Drosophila melanogaster: one gene and its partner. The protein of the gene in region 1 interacts with the protein of each later gene in a pairwise test. Each region holds a gene or a part of one and is shown in the gene's direction. Other genes may lie near its edges.

Evidence for each region.
Region 2: the proteins of CG6891 (region 1) and CG8420 interact in a two-hybrid assay, tested with the Drosophila melanogaster proteins (one large-scale study listed by BioGRID).

Annotation. Positions count from the first base shown.
Region 1 is NC_004354.4:18,772,272-18,782,523, forward strand, and holds CG6891 (uncharacterized protein), read left to right. Parts: upstream 1-2,956; 5' UTR 2,957-3,307; coding exon 3,308-3,358; intron 3,359-4,226; exon of another isoform or gene 4,227-4,584; intron 4,585-7,361; exon of another isoform or gene 7,362-7,574; intron 7,575-8,409; coding exon 8,410-8,733; intron 8,734-8,806; coding exon 8,807-8,923; 3' UTR 8,924-9,074; downstream 9,075-10,252. Other genes in the region: CCKLR-17D3 (Cholecystokinin-like receptor at 17D3), read right to left, coding at 941-1,514; CG18259 (uncharacterized protein), read right to left, coding at 9,505-9,586, 9,643-10,252.
Region 2 is NT_033777.3:9,245,816-9,253,271, forward strand, and holds CG8420 (uncharacterized protein), read left to right. Parts: upstream 1-1,633; 5' UTR 1,634-1,858; coding exon 1,859-2,620; intron 2,621-3,009; coding exon 3,010-3,158; intron 3,159-4,104; coding exon 4,105-4,384; intron 4,385-4,840; coding exon 4,841-5,164; intron 5,165-5,397; coding exon 5,398-5,478; 3' UTR 5,479-5,616; downstream 5,617-7,456. Other genes in the region: St2 (sulfotransferase 2), read left to right, coding at 6,056-6,390, 6,535-7,150.

The DNA of each region.
Region 1 (10,252 bases):
CACGGCATGCCATTAGGGTCGGGGCCAAGCCAGCAGCTCACCCAGTGACGAACTGGATGGTGGCCGGGATTACTGGGGCAACCTGCCACATGACGCAATGGGCAAGCGAATTACCGAAATCGTGAAATATGTATTTACAACGCCGTTGCTAATGCGCCGTTTCACATAAACATAAAGAACGAGCTGCCAGTTTTTCTTTCGAAAGCCCATTTAATTGTCCGTGGCCCCCCAAGTAGCGCCAACAAATGTCTTTTTAATCACGTCCAACTGTTGTCCTGCCAACGCGTTTGATTTGAAGTTATGCGATGGCCGTGCGACTCTTAAGGATGCACGCTATCCGTATCCTGTCCACAGACAATGGCGCACACTCTGTCAATAACATGGGCCCACATTATGATTCTCATTTCCATTTTCAGTTTTCTGAGAACATGCGACACGCACAGGGATATGGATACGGATGTGGGTATGGGTATGGTGGTATGGAAATAAAGGGGTAACTAGGTGGAGATGGAAACCAGGACATTGTATGCCCACCTTTTACACAACTTGTTGTTTTGCGCGCTTTATGAGCTCTTCCCCGCAAGACAGGGCCAATAAAACGATCCACATGCGACGATAATCGTAAAAAATTATTTTAATGCCCCACCAACGAACCTAAATGCGCAGGAACCCAAGAGCCCAAGAACCTAGGAACCAAGGAAACTACGAATCCCGGTCGCCCCCAACTCACACGCGCCATAAATAGGGCCCTCAACTTATGTATTTGTAATTCCAACTAATTGAAGGCTACAGAAGATGGGGGAATTGGGACAGCTAAGCTAATATTAGGCGGTTACTTATAATGTCCGAGAACGCAGCTCCCTCCAGTGGGACAGGTCGTTAAATAAGCCAGGCGTTTAGGCATTTAGTGGTTGCCGTTTACCGGGAGGACTCCACTCACCTTGCGAGAACTGAAAGAGCTTGCAGAGGAACTCGCCAAAGATGAAGTTTCGCAGCAGGGTGCCCACCAGGGTGACGGGCATGCAGAGCACGCCCAGCAGCATGTCCGATATGGCCAGGTTGAGCAGGAACACGTTGGTTATGGTACGCATCCGGCGATTCTGCACCAGCGTCGAGATGACCAGCAGGTTGCCCAGCACGGCGAACAGCAGAATCATGCTATAGCTGGGTATCAGCCAGACGGGCATGCCAGTGGAAGTACTGGAGCTGGAAGCGGGTGTGGAACTGGGACTTGGACTTGAACTGGTGCCCAGGGAGAAGGCCAGTTCGGTGACCAGGTCACTGGGCTCGGTGTCCATATAGCCATCCCTATCATCATCGCCATAGCTGCTTGTCGCATTGCCCGCCAAGGAGACAGTGCCTCCGTTTCCAGTTCCATTGTAGGGTGCCACGTTGAGCGACACTATGTGACCCGCCGCACTTGGCGCATTGGCATAGTAGTCGAGCAGTGCCCTATAGGCAGCCGCTGCAGCCATGGCCGCCTGGTCGGCATCCCCCTCCTCGTAGTTGAACATCCCGGATGACCGGGTGATTCGTGGCAATCACTGGCCACCACCGCCTGACATGTCCCGTTGCGGGTCACCGAAAAAAATAAAATAAAATTTCACTCAATTGCTATTGAAACGGCGACGCTTGCGCGCAGGCTGGCAAAGATTGCGATATGGAACTCGGGGGTATCCGAGCACACGAGCTGGCGGCTTTGGCTGCCAGGAGAGGGCTCGCCTGCTACCGTTGCGGGTAACGCGTCGTGGGCAACTGACGACTGGCGGACGAGGACGACGCCTCCGCTCCGCTGGGCTAGCTGCCGCAACATGTTGCGTGGGCGATGCCGAATGGCGCAAACTCACCACGGCAACTTGTGGCTAGCAGCATGCTGCCAGGCAGCCCTGTTGCCGGGCAACTCCCATGTTGCGCGGAGGACGTTCCCTGCCGATTGGGACAAATTAATACGGTGCACTGCATCATCCATGGCGTCTGCAGCGGCGGAGCAGCTGCTGTTCGGCCCACGCACCGCGCTAATCATCAAATCAGCCGCATTCCTACGGCACTTGAGTGCCAGAGAATACAATCTCGGCTCGTTATGTGTTTGCACAAATGTTCTGCGCTAATTCCACGGATCGCATTCCCAGCCGACAAGCTGGCAGGGATCAGTGCTGATCTAGACATAGTTTTGGATATATAGCGATTCCGATTAGCACCTATAGCATCTATTTCAAAGACTACCTTTTCGCTTGCAATTGTTGCTCGTTTTTTCGGCGCAGGAAGTGAATGGAATAGCCCTCGATGAAGGAAAATAACATGACCGGGAGCTGCAGTGGTAAGACGTGACTCCACTGGGATACTGGATATGACTATGCCAGGAATCCGTGTTGCCGAAGAAACCCAATAAATCCAATAAATTCATGTTTTGATAGAATAGATAGAATTCACTTCTCGTAAGCCTCTTCACCATCGAGGAAGAGATCTTCTTCAAGGGATTCAGCTGATCCTTAAGGACGTACATAGTTTAGATGGAGGAGTACAGTCGTTGTTTTTCTATCCATCTGACTATACATATATTTGCGCACGATGTTATGGTTTCCTGTGGCCATTGCCAGTTAAGATGGCTAACACGAAGTATTTATGCAAACTTCATTATCATTATAGGAGCATCTAGCAGACTAAATTTTCTCGCGGTGTACGCATAAAACACTAGCCAACATCTGGCTTTTTTTGGTGTTTCCGAAATGCCTGCACTGAAAATGAAAATGAAAATAAAGCCAAATGCGGCGACATCGTCGCAGTTCGCCCGCTCTCGCTTGCTCCCCACGCAGCCGTCTCTGTCGCACCTGCTGTTTGTCTAACAGCTGCCGTGGGGCCTTCTGGCCAGTGCATCTCGCTCGCACGCACGGCGACTGCGCCGCCGACTTCGGCGGTCGACGGTCGGCACTTCATTCGGAGTTGCAGACGCCGGCAACGCCGCATTCGTGAGATACAACTCGTGGTGGTCGGACGAAGTTCAGCGGCTGCTCTAATATCTGGATATCTGGAACTGTGCTGGTTCTGTCCATCGCTCTTTGTGCGCTTGGATTGTGTTTTTTTGTTGTTTTTCTGGCGCTGTGTATTTTTGTTTTCGTTGTCATTGTGCCACTCTGCCACTCTGCCACTTTGTCACCTTGCAAACGGTCAACTCTTCCCGCCAGACCAGCACTCCGTTCCCCTTCGAGACTCACCCGCGATCCCAGGAAGCTGTTCCCAAGAGCACCAGCATCCCAGCTGCGCATTGAAAACCATATCTACATCCACATCCAGAACACAGCGCACCAGCATGTCGGACGGCATCGAGGTCGAGCAATTGGTGGAGAGCAAGCCGAGAAGGGTGAGTAGTGGGGAGTGGGTTGGGCACACATGGAGTTCGAGTTGGAGTTGGAGATGGATGGAGTCGGTAGTCCTGCTCCGGGCAGGGACCATGAAATGTGTGTGTATACCGGCAGGGGACGACCGAAAATTAAGAATTATAAAAGATTGGATGGGGCAGCCAGAAGTCCAGAGAGTCAGAGAGCAGGCCGGAGAGATATCTTATAAATGCACCGAAAGAAAACGGGTACTCAGTATGCTGATCACTTTTAAGGCTGAGCCAATCCGATGGCACAACCTTAAAATGGAAGAAAGTTCTAATCACCACTACATTATAAATACCTACAATTAAAGAATGCTAAAAAAAAATAATATTCTCTTGAGAATAATGATCGATTTTCGAACTTTAAATTGTTCAAATATATATTGAAAAATATTGGGGATTAGTAGAAATATACAATAATATAAAAATTCAATTACCAACAGTGGTATTGAACTCGGACATTGGCTTTAAGGATACAAAATACAGTTTTCTTCCGGTGTACACACTGGAGTTGCTGAAGCCCAGGCCCATGCGGCGTGTGTGTATATCGCTGGGCATGCGTGAGTGTCTGTAAATAACTCTGACATTGGCTCGCCGGCGACTCCGCTCCACAAGAACCGGCCCCAGAGGGCCAGAGGTCCAGGAGGCGGGGTGGCAGCTGGGTTTTATGGCTCTGGCTGGCTGGGCGGAAAGGGGCAGGGCAGGGCAGGAACAGGGACTGAGTACCGAGGGGCAATATCATCTTGGCTGGATGCGATTGCGGGGGCGGATGCAGATTGTGGGGGCGACTCCGAATCCGAATCCGAACCCAAAAACTGAATCCGAATGCGACGCCTTCGCAGCGATGCATATCAAGTTCAAGTGCGTTTGCAGTGCGGCTGCCGCTGCTGCACTTGCTCGCTGGGATCTCGAGACACCATCGATACCCAACGAAGACGCTGCGGTTAATGCGGCGCAGTCCGTCGCCCTGGCAAACACGTATAGCTTTCCAGATTACGGTATTTAGCGGGCACTGGGAGCTGGGTAAATGGTTGCAGTGCCATTATCTTGCGGGTACTTCGTTCAGCTGATCGCAAGATCTGCGTTTCATGTGACTTTTGGTGCACAGCACTTGTTCGCCAACCTAATCTCTATGGCATCAAACAAAACGATTGTGCAGGCCAATAAATATTACAATTTCGAGGTTTCCAAGTGCAGGCAAACAAGTGAGTAATAAAAGTGTATGGAATCGATGGGGATATCGGCCATTCCACACCCTTTCAATGCTCGGGAATCGCTTCCTGACGCGCCAATTTTGGTCATCCACTCCCCGAGTCGTCGTCGTCGTCGTCACCTTCAGGCGGCATGAATCACGCACTCGGAACCTCGTTTCCCGCAACCCGCAACCCGTACCCCATACCGATACCCCGTACCCATCAGAATGACCATCCACAACCCCATCCGGCATCCCAGATCCCCCGACTCCGGGCGTCTGGGGCGTGAGCAGCCACAAAACAGTTTGCTCCTTTGTTTCCTGCACTGTTTGTGCTAGTGTGCGTGGCGAATGAAACATCGACGGCAGCGGAATAAAAATAAGAAATAAAATGAAATGAAATAAAGTAAAGTAAAGTGGGGGAAAAAGAACATTGACATATCGGCGGTCCCAGACCCGGAGCAAGTACGTCATTGCGACTGCGCTGCGGCAACTGGCAATTTGTCACAACATTGCCAATTATTTTTTTTGCTTGTTTTATTTATTTTTTTTTTTTTTTTGGACTTAGTCTGGCCAAGGCGAAGCGGTTAATAACCGATTCGCTGCAATTTATTGGTTATTTTCCAATTGCCTTGCCAATGAGTCAGTTGCATCGACCCACGAATATTCCGCATATTGTGTTTTCACTGTGCATGTATGTCATATATATATCTGCATCGCCTCTCCTTTATTTTCCTTTATTCATGCCCGATCGTATTATTTGGAATTTTTTTCGTTTCTTATCTGAAATTCATTAGTCAACATAAAACACTTTCGGTCCACTTGTACATACACAATGAAAAAGCGAATAAAATACAAAATGTTTAGTGCAATCGAAAGTGAATACTCTAACTTTTATTGTTCATACTTCAGTATTTGCTTTATGAGCTCACGATCTATATATACCATACAATTAGATATATAAACTATACAAACAGAGTTAACTTGAAATAATGTCAGTGGTGTATACCAGGCATCGAATGATAAAAGATACGGATATAATACCATTCACTCTGTAGTTCTCGATAGCTTGCTGTTTACTTAAGGACAGGATTATTTACATACAATACGTTCTCATAGATGTTTATTTTAAAGGTATCCCAAGAATTTCTACAACTGCGATACCTTTCACAAGGGTATCAGCGTTGAGTTACGCAGCAAGTCAGTTTCAAGCACCTGGCGCTGGGGATTCGGTTTCGTTTTCGTTAGCAAATTGTTATTTGCTGTATTATGCTTGGTTACGTTTAGCTGCAGTTATAGCCGCGTTTGATGCATCGCCGGCCCGCTCATTGCCAGATATCGATGGATATAGCTATAGATACTATAGCTACATATATCTAGCTGGCAATGCAGCGTGCTGTATGAATGCACACATGGGCATATATGGCTCATTACGTACGAATCCACATATATAGATAGATATAATACATATGTACATCTATCTATCGGATATGGCCGCAAGCCATTTGAGTAGCGCGAATTGTTTGGCAGATGGCTTTCCTGCTGGAAAGGTGGCTAACTCAATGGATCTGTTAGGATTATTGGTGGTTCCAAGTGAAACTGAAAATATGTATGCATATACATTTCCTGTCATCGCTACAAGGTTACTTATCAGACTGTTGCTCACTGTTTTCCATCGAGAATCACGAATCACGATTAACCGTATCAATTATGGACTGGCTACTGTCGCTCGCTTTTCTATGCGAATCTTTCGAGGATGACGCACTCTGACTTTCCTTGAAACTATTGTAGTTTCCCTTTTTTCGATATATTTCCTGAAGCCAGCGCAATATCTCGATTCCTATGACTAAGCGTCAATCTCTGCTGAATTTTTATGGCGTGTAAAATTGGAACAGGCGAGCCCTACAGATTTAACCGGCACTAATTGCCCGGGCGATCCCAAGAACTTTCGGTAATAAATCAATTACAGTTCCTTTAGTTTTGCGACAGTTTTCTTATCAGAGCAAATAGATGGCATTGCGTCAATTCCGGAGGTGGGGCTATCCGAGCCTATCCTATCCGATCTTTGGGTGCACTCCCAGCCCAACTGGAGTGATCTAATTTGTCGTGTTGTCATTGTGTCAGAAGTGGAGATATGGCCATATAGGCATATATATGTATATAGATACATATGTGCGAACGTTATCGGGCTTATCGGCTGGAAACTTAATTTCAGCTAATTTTAGCCAACAATTTGGCTCACGTACCCGTGGAGGTTGCAGGAGGAGCACCGACATTTCTATATACATTTGTATCTGCTATCTTGCTTGTTTGGGGGAAAATTTGTCGGGTATTTTCGGTGGGTCATTCGCTGCAACGGTTTCTTAGTCGTCCGCTCATTTTTGGCACAGTTTGCGTCCGCATCTTGTTCATTTTTTTTTTTTTTTTGCCTGCCTTCCGACTAATTAATTCAGAGCCACGAAACGGGAGATTCAGAGCTGTTCCATAGTTCTATGCGACGCATAGAATACACATACAAACTCCAAGTTCTTACTGCGTCGCGTTGTGAAAGTCGTCGCCCGAAACATCTTTGGGTTTAATTGTTTGGCTTTTGATATTTTCGACAGTCGTCGCTTTTCTAATTGATTTTTCTCACCAGACGCCGTACTCTCCGGTCATTGAACGCATTATAGAGCGATCTCTATCTCCATCTTCCCATCGGTATCTGTATCTGTATCTGTATTTGTACCTTTAGCTGTATCTGTATCCGTATCTCTGGCCCAGCTTCAATGTCTATTTATACGCGAGTCTAGTTCCTGACTCCAAGCCCGATCCATTTGGCTGGCAGTTGGACCAACAGTCATTTGGCTCTCTTTGTTTGTTGTCATCCCGTTCCGACGACCCCAAGTCACTTATCAAATCTCTGACCTGCTTTCCGCCGGCTGCTGATTGAAAATTGTCACGCGTAAATTGATTTTAATGCGGCGATCCGCTTAAGACAATAAGAGTGCACTACGTGAAAGGGTAGTTTTCCGATCCGTACTACAAGTATACTCGTATCAAAAACCATCGATCCAATCGCTTTACACGCTTTCCACGCATCTAAGCTGAGCCTAACTTTGTGCACATAATGCTACCCCAAAGATCACTTAATAAACCACAATTAAAATTAATCTTTAGCTAACCAAAATCGTATTGAGACTTGGTTTTTTACATTTCACTATCAAGCCATTCGAACTTATCAAGCAATTTAAATTCATTTACATATCGATATTTTTAAATCATCATATTTTTGGGCTTTGAACCAGAACCCTGAACCCTCATATGTGTGTGCTGATATCATTATCAAAAATGCTGTAATTTAATATGCGGGTATGTTCCAGTATGTTATCATAATAAAGCCTTTATTTTTTCTTCGAAATATGTACATATTTACATTGGCTACTTTTCCGCTGGCCCGCTGGTATTATGTTTATAAAGCACTAAAGCGGCAACAAATTGCTTTCCGTGAATCTGCCCGAACGTAATGCAAGTGGGCGATGCAATGGCGTGCCTATTCCCCTGGCCGACTTGAGGTTGCCTGACACGGAAACAAGTCGAATTGAATGTAATATAACCATCGAAAGCGAAAGCACCGCTTAAATCTGACTCATAGATGGCGCCGTCAAGAGTACTTGGCCCCGCATTGAGTACATACAATACATTTCGCTATCGATGGGCCAAAGCGGATGATCCATTCGCCTTGGCGAAACGATTCGGACTTGGAATACATGATTAAGATATATACTTCCGTCTGAAAGTTGCTTATAGTTCCCCTCTTCGCTTGCTTATAATCCTCTTCCCCCTTGCTCTTTCGCAGATGCCGCTGGCCACGTCGCTGGAGAAGGACTCGATTCGCGAGGCCTACGAGGATGTACGCTCCGATCTGACAGACACCGAGTGGGCGGTATTCAAGTTCGATGGCGCCCAGATTATTGTACATGCGCGCGGTCAGTGCTTTGAGGAATTCCGACAGCAGTTCGGCGACTCGGAGCGCGCCTTTGGCTACATACGCATCCAGATGGGTGACGAGATGTCCAAGCGCAAAAAGTTCATCTTCCTGACGTGGATCGGGCAGGAGGTGGGCGTCATCCAGAGGGCCAAGATGTCCACGGACAAGGCGCTGATCAAGGATGTCCTCAACGTGAGTAGCCAATAGCTAGAGATGCCAGAGCCCAGAGGCAGAAATAGATCCTCTCATCTCTAATCTCTTGCAGAATTTTGCCGTGGAACTTCAGGCGGGAGTGGAGGCCGAGCTGGACATTGAGCTCTTCCGTGAAGCACTGAACCGTGCCGGCGGCGCCAACTACGGAACGGGCATCCGGGATAACTAAGCGGCCTCCAAGTTACTTTACATATACATTTTTTTTTGCAACTCTTAACTGCTTACCAAACTGCTCCTTTCTCTTTAATTATTATGAATTAATTTTATGAAATTTAAAAACTGTACATTTTATGAAATATTATACAAGCAATTGTAACATTACTGGGTCCTCTTATTTATCGTATAATCATAATCCATAGTGTCATTCAAAAAAGGTAAAAGAAAAGTTTTCAATACCAAATTTCAAGAGCGGATGCAAAATCATTATCAATGCCATACATTTAATTGTGTATATAGTGGGACTGATGAATTACTTTGATGATAAGACAAAAATTTTAGCCACCTAATACTGAATACTGAAGTGGACAGATATGCCAGAATTTGCATTAGAAAATTCAAGTTTCTATAGTAAAGAAATGTTCTCGTTTAAACTAGTCTGGTTTTCTGAACATACGCTGGATGGATCGATTCGAATTTAATAAGCGCGAAATGAAAATGGACTACGTTGTTGAACTAAATACTACGGAGATGATGAAAATGATGAGAAAAATTATCTAGTTGCTTTAGTTCCCGGGCTCTGCCTCTCGCTTCCTAGCGGACCCTGAAGAGTACCGAGTGAAGTGCATCGATGTCCACCTCCACGCCAGACGAGTTTGTGGTCACGGTGCGAGAGCTACGGCCGAGAACGTTGAACAATACTGCTTGGTATCTTTAAAGCATATCACTCACCTGGCTTTGTGCACCGAGCGACGGGAGGAGTGCGGATTAACCAGCACACAGTGCATGGGCTGGTCATCGAACTGACGATGGTGATAGGTATCTACGGCCTTCTCGGCATGTTCCAGTGACTTGTAAATAACTTCGGCGGTGCCGGGACGCACCACACGAGCGTCGTACACTGGGCCGATGTCGCTAAAAAGCTCGCGAATATCCGCAGTAGTCACGTTAGTATGCAGATTGCTCACCAGCAGGCGGTATCCATCCTTTGTGTTCGACGTACGCAGCGACAATGGGGATGGCGAACGGCGCTTGTTCTTCGATGGAGCAGCTGCATCACCATCACTATCAGTACCGCTATCGCTATCCCTAGCACCACCGCCACCAACAGCCTTTCTCCGGTTCTCGTTGGCGTAGATGCCATGAGAAATGTGAGGATCCCTCTTACCGACAAACAGACGAGACCGCAGCGATTCTGGGAGTTTACTTGTGCTTGCTGTGTCGCGGTGGCGGCGCTCGAGAGGCTCCTTGGTGGTATTTGAGCGTCCAACTACGAGTCGGTTGGTCAGCGAAGGACGCTCAATGCGATTGCGGGCCGCCTCGTAAATGGAGAATGCATTGT
Region 2 (7,456 bases), on another chromosome or scaffold:
AATAACAAGAAAACGAAGTCTTCGTCTTTTCTGCGCAGCCAAACAGCTGGTGGCGAAAACCAATCGATGTTATCGATAAGTACACTGGCCAACATATTCACTTCTTTTTTTAAGTTTCCTAAACATTTTATCAACATTATTTTATCATTTTTTATATTGGCAATACTTTTTCAAAAATCGCGGATTTAAATATTTCCTAATTGAAATTTTATTTTACACACTTATTTCATTAAGGAACATCGATATACCGCACACCAACTAATAACAATCGATAATATGGTATGAGTTCAAATACATAATTCAATTTAAAAAAGGCCGCGAATTTTGTATGTGACAAGTACTTTAGAGTGGAGTTTATTCCAATAACTTTGAATTTACAAACATAAGAATGAAACTCTATTCGAATTATTTAATATGCTAATAACTAATTTATGGGGAAAGGTCATCTTGCTTCGGAGTTGGAAGAACGTGAAGAAAGTAAAGAAGTGAACAAGATCGATACAGATACACCTCTTTAGTTCGGCATGACGGACCCATTAAACTGATTATAAATTTATGTAACGGGCACACTGCAATCTGTTTGTTGAATAAATTCGAAATGGGCCATGACGAGAGCCAAAATCAACCCACCACCAAGAGTCCAGGTGACAAATGTGCCGAGTATTTCATTGGGTTGCTTAAAGAACTTGAAATGAGAACTTTAATTTAAGGTGCAAACCAATATATACCCTTGTATATAGCGGATATTCAATGTTATTAAATATTTAATATAACTTTTATTTAGATTGAAAATGGGTATAGTGTGCATTGAGAATTCAATCGAAAAGGTTTATAAACGATTTAACATTTACACAAAATTAATTTGTGAAAAAATATGGTTTAAAATGTAGTTTTAATTTAATTAATGTTAATTTTTCAATTTTCCAAGACCAGTTCTTTTTCATTGTAGTATAGTATACCCAAATAAAGAGCCACAAATGTTGTGTTGATACTCGTATTTACATAAAAAGCCCAAACAGGCGGCTTTAACGAAAGCGTTGCCATCAAATCTGACTGCCAATGTCCACCAACCACCATTCCGAGAAGAGAACTTTCAAAGCGGACAATCGTGTGTAAAAAGAAAGTAGGTGGGTAGGTAGGAAACATAAACAAAGTGTGAGCCATAGAACCGGGTACACATAAAAAAAAAGGTTGCAACCATAATTTCTTTATTTGATCTCTACAAAATGATACTACTTTTGATAATAGAGAAAGTGTTATGATTATCTTAATATGTTATTTTGATCTCTCTATATAAACATTTAACTTAACTCTATCCCAACACAATAAGCGGTTCTGATCTTTGCATAACAATTTTTTTTCTCTGTAAAAACCAAAGCTCTTCTGCTCTTTCTTCGCCCTCTCTTTTGTCTCGTTTTTTTTTCTGAAGACGGCGAACCTGACGTGGTGTTCAAAGCGCAGGCGTAAAGAATTCCATTCCGCGAGAGAGAGTCTGTCTGGAAACAGGTGAGAGCGGCGAATAGAGTTGGAGATTTGGATCCGAAGAAAGGGGAGTCCAGAGAGCGCTCACATCGAACATGTTCGATGGCCCCCAAAGAATCGTTGGCTTAAGAAGTGTTACAAACTGGCCCAGAGCCGCAGAAGAAAGAAAGTTTTCGGCTGTGCTGGCTGCTCTACGCTGCGATCTCCGTTCTCCGTTCTCCAATCTTTGTAATATCTGTTTAGATATACATAGTTATAGTATATACATACATATATTTCGTGTGCTCAGTGGAGCGTCTTCCGCGTTTTGTGGCTGCGTCGCTTAATTGGCCCAAAAGTATCTCAAGTGTGTGATTGTGAAAGTTCCTGAAGCAAAATGTACGTGAGACGAGCTCTGCTCTTGGCCTGCCTGCTGTGCCTCCAGCCGCTGGGTCCATCTATGGCCAGCGAGGATGAGTCCAATCCGCTGCTGGACATGGCCTCCATGTTCTTCCAGGAGGCGCTGTCCAACCAGAACGGTGGCAACAATGGAGGAGGCGGTGCTGGTTTGGCGGGTGTGGCCTCGCTAATTGGCACCTTCATGCAAGCGAGTGGCAAATCTGGAGGCGCCGGAGCAGGAGGCGGCGGTGCTGGTGGCGCCATGCAGATCCTCTCGGGCCTGGGCAGTCTTCTGTCCAAGAGTCAGGGCGGTCAGAGCGGTGGCTTCGATCCCTCCATCATTGGCAATGTCCTCGAGATGTTCACCCAGGGCGATGACGAGGAAGCCACTCCACAGCAAAAGCGCAGCAATGGCGGTGGCTCTGAATCTGGCATTGGTCTGGATACCATACTGCAAGTGGCATCCGCCTTCATGAACACCCAGGGCAACGATAAGGCCACACATCATCACCAGCAGAAGCGATCCACCGCCACGGAACCGGAATCCGAGAACGGACTGATGAACCTTCTGCCACTGGTCATGCAGGCGGTTAGCTCCTTTGCCGGTCCCGAGGGTCAGAGCACCCAGGAGAAGCACAAGAGCCACGCCTGGGTGCTGCCCCCATTCCTGGAGCACATTCACGTGCTGTGGGATCACTTCTCCAACTCCGAGCTGGCTGATGCGTTGTACGAGAAGTCCGGAGTTAACAAAATCATGAAGGTGGATGCATAAATCAGACTTAACTATATATTGTTGACGTTTTGATGTTAGAACATTTTATTAGATTTTAGTACGCTTTTTGCATAAAATATAGCACTTTTTAATACAATATTGGAAAATATTCAACATATTAAAGACCTTAGGAACACATTAAGAGTAAACTATTTTGACTACACATGCGTAAACAAAATGTAGAGAAAATCTTTAAAACAAAATAATCTATATATACTCATTTAAATTGATATAGAAACAATTAGCGGAAAAAAAAACAATTTAAAATTTGTTTCCTAGCTAAAATACAAATTCAAATTCTGAAATGTTACGCTACTAAAATAATATGTTAAATACCAATTTGTAATGCTAATTACTCTACTCTTATCCACCTCCAGGGCTTCAAGGGTTCCGATGGCAAGCTGGACTATGATAAGCTCTTCGAGTCGCTGAATAACCAATCCTTCCGTCGCCGCTGGATCAAGTCGGCCACACTCTACCTGGCCGACTGGGCCAGCTACCTGGCCAATCCCGAGGTGTATCTCAGGTGAGTCTCGGCCGGCCAACGTGGCTCGATCTTCAGCGATGGCCAAAGCGTGTTAATTGTGGATCACGTTCTGCTCTGCAACGGTCCCAGTGCATTTAGCACCTGGCTGCCATTCTTGGTCACACTCCAAGACCACCTTCCAGTCCAAATCCGATGCCCATTCCGATTCTAATTCAGAATCAGATTTCGAACAGCTGCTGGCAAAGCCTGTGCTAACCATTTCCCGTTAGCGACAACCCGTTTGGCCATCGAGCATGTTCGATGCGGCTACCTTTTGACCCACTTTTTTCGGTGCTGGTGCTGCTTTTAGAACGTGCCTGCTAATCCAACTGGTCAACAACAGTGGCAAGTACCAAGTCCAGGCACTGATACAGTTACAGTTGATATGCAGAAGATACAGAAGTCAACGGCATCGTTAAAACAAACAAATAAATAAAGCGGGCCAAAACCGGTTGGCGGTTTTAGCCAGGGGAAATTGCCTTGGCAGACCGGGTACACATGTCTGAAAAATCAAGTAATTCTTATCTACAAATCTTCTCAATTCATAATGACCAATCGAAACTGTTATTTAAAATGCAATAGTATAAGTATTAATTATATGTATTCCTTAAGCAAATCTCCAAAACTATGAATACTTTTCACATAGGAAAAACGACTTGGGAATTATAAGAAATCAGCATGCAGCGAGCAGAAAAACATTAATTTAAGCAATTTTTCTTTGTGTACACATTGGATTCAGACATTTTTGCATGATTCTTAAGTAGGTCAGGCTTCTCAGACTTCTTGGTCTTCTTATTTTTTGTTTGTTTTTGTTTTGCGTTGCCCCCAACGTTAGACAACAACAAAAGCGCACAACAACTTCCACTTTCTAGAGACCCTTTCACTCGGCGGTGCTGCGTGATTGAAACTCATCAATTTGCCCGCTTCTCGGCACTTTCTTATACAGGTACTTCCAGACGGCACAGATCATGTTTAACGGCTTGCTGAAGTCTCAAGGTTACCCCAAGCAGACCCACTTCGATCCCTCCCGTCCGGGCGAGACCATCTCGAATCTCTTGGACCATGTGGCCAAGCATCATCTGAACGTTAAGATCGATTCGAGGCAGTACGTCAAGCCAGCCGTGGGCTATGCCAAGGAACTGCTAAAACTTGGCCAGGCACGCGGATTACTTCAGTTCAATGCCACCGAGATCAGCGACAAGCTAACGGATACGCTTAACCTGGAGGTAAGCAGATTCTCTGAACTCTGAACTTAACTGATATGGGAACTGGGCAACGCAGTTGGTAATTGGAGATATATATCTGAGAATAGGAAATAGCTGAGGTGAAAATAATAGCACTAATTAAATAGTAATTCTGTTTAAAGTTATGTACTATATGATCCTTATATGTATGATTACTTTACTGAAGTTGCTGATAGTAGCTAAAGTATAAAGTATAAAGTACTAAAGGAGCTAATAGGAACTGATTACATTACTGAACTATATCATTGAAAACTATAACTAATTTATCCCATATGATTCTTGCAAATGCTTTGACCCATTTCGACGTAAAATGAATTTGTTATAATTGAATAACTTGGCCCAGTTAGATGTACTAAACACTTAGTTTGAAGCAAATCAAATTAATTACGCCACTATTTTCTCCTCCACGCATCCGTCAATGGATCAAATGGCAAACAGGTTATTGAACCGGTGCTGAAAGTCCATCGCGCCTACAGATACATCTCCAAGTCGCCGCAATGCGATCGCTACGTGCTCTGTCAGCTGAATGCAGCGGCTCTCGATCAGCAGGAGAAGCAGAGGCAGCACGACCAATACCAGCAGCACCACCAGCCCAAGCAGAGCCAACTGAATCGCCCGACATCGGCGTCCAGTCTAATTGCCGGAGTTAGTCCGAAAATCGTTAAGATCGGGAGCATGGGTGCGGCAATCTTCATTAGCACGGAAACCGGTACGCCGTTCTGGACCCTCTTCGGTGTGATCAATGCGCCATACAATTGCGAGGTGAGTAATAACGGCCACAGTGATGCACTGAAAAGAAATGGAATACATCTAGCATGAAGATGATGAAATCTCTAAGGGGATATAAAAGATAACTAAAAGTATGCTGCGTTACGTAGAACGTATTCTTTTGGTACTCTTTTTGTACGAGTAAATAATCATATATATTTTTCTCTCTCTGTACTTCCATTTGTCGCCGCTTTCTAACCGATATTTCTGCGATTGCACGCCAACAGGCCAAATATCCAGTCGACTGCAATGGTTTCCACGAGGGCGAGGCCAAGGTGACCACGGAATATATCCACAACGAGTTGTAGTATTCCAGTTGCAAATGGACAAGCGAGATCCGGACAAGAAAAGTAGAAGACGAAGGCTCATTAAGACGATTTAGCTGTAATTGAGATAAAGATTTCGTGTGTATATAGTATTACGGATTGAAATATATATTTAAATTTAAACAGAACCTTTTATTTTAAACTGTGTCATAAGGGTCATGAGATGGTTATCTAACTATTTCTAATCATAGTTGTTGTCTACAGATTTTACGATCTATTTGAAGTCAACGAACCGCAAAAGAAAAGCCATCCAACTACAGTCAAACTTAGCTAAGTGAGATCACTTTAAATAATCAGACCAATAAGACAATTTTCAGGATTTTCACTTTAATGATTTTGAATTTTAGTTATTCAAAAACCTGATCTTAGTTTCAGGCAACTTATTGAAGCCTTAATTCACCTTACAAGAGCTTTTTTTGCTGCACAAACCAGTTCGTGTTGGTGGAAAGTCCCATTTCAGTGCCTCGTTTGAACTTGCACTTGCACTTGCCACTCGACTTGACTTTGACTTCATTGTGCTTTGGTAATTTGGCCAAAGCAGTTGAAAGATACAGGAGCCATGCAGCTAATTTATCGTGAACTCGAGGAGGACATACTTCGACGCACTAATGCAGTCTTTCCGGTACAAAATTGCTTTGTTGAGGTCCTCCCCGATCAGTTTATCATTCCCAGAAAGTACGTGGAGCTGGGCGAATCGATTCGATCGCTTCCCGTTTACCAGGACGACGTATGGATGGTGTCCTATCCACGAACCGGATCGACGTGGGCCCAGGAGATGGTCTGGCTGCTGGGTCACCAATTGGATTACGTGGCCGCTGAGCAAGATTTAAGATTGCGATCTCCGCTCATTGAACTATCCGCTTTGTTTAGCATCGATCATCACGAGACGGTGGCGTGAGTATGAAGAAACTATATCATTCTGAACTCATATACACATTACTTGTACACTAATGTATATATATATAAGTGAGTGAAGCGGGGAAAAATTCATATTCAAAAAGCTTTTTCACCTCTTTGCACTTTCTCCTCGCCTGACAGCCAAAAGTTTGGCAATACCGTGGATCTGGTTCGCAATCTGCCACGCCCACGTTTTGCACGCTCCCACCTGCCGTGGCCTTTGCTACCCGAGCAATTTGAGACGGTAAAGCCGAGGATCGTGTATACTGCTCGAAATCCCAAGGATCTTTGCGTCTCGTACTATCACTACTTCAAGTTGCTGCACGGCATGAATGGGGACTTTGAGCAATTCGTGGATCTCTTCCTGGAGGGGCACACACCGATGGGATCCTATTGGCGGCACGTCCTGCCCTTTTGGAAACGTAGCCAGGATGATAATGTGCTGTTCATCAAGTACGAGGACATGGTCAAGGATCTGCCCAGTGTAGTTCGCCGCTGTGCCAGATTCCTGGGCGTTCAAAGTCTCCTCGATGTGAGCACTTTGCAGAAATTGTGCGATCACCTCACATTCGACAAGATGCGGGCGAACAAGGCGGTGAATCTGGAGAAGCTGCTCCCGGAATCATCTTCCAAGTTCATACGCAATGGCAAGATCGGGGATTGGCGCAATCACATGGGCAATGAGATGTCGGAACGCTTTGATGAATGGACCGAGAGACATATGCGTGGTTCTGGATTAAACTTTGACTACGTGTGAAAAACCCCACTTGCTAATAATATTTTTTGTGTTAAAATATTTTAATAAACTTAATTGGATTATGGGCGTATAAAATACGTTTATGGAGGCGATGAATAGTTATAAAAAGACTTATTGGTTACTTATCCGTAAATTAAATTAAATTACCAATTTTTTTTAATTTCTTGTCTTTAAAAACTTTTTTTCCACTTTTTATCAACATTTAAGCTTTCAAAAACATAAAAACATAAAATTAACAAGGTTTGTGTTTAAATCTGAGACCACCAGTCTTTTCTAAACTGCTCTTGCGAACACTACAACCATCAG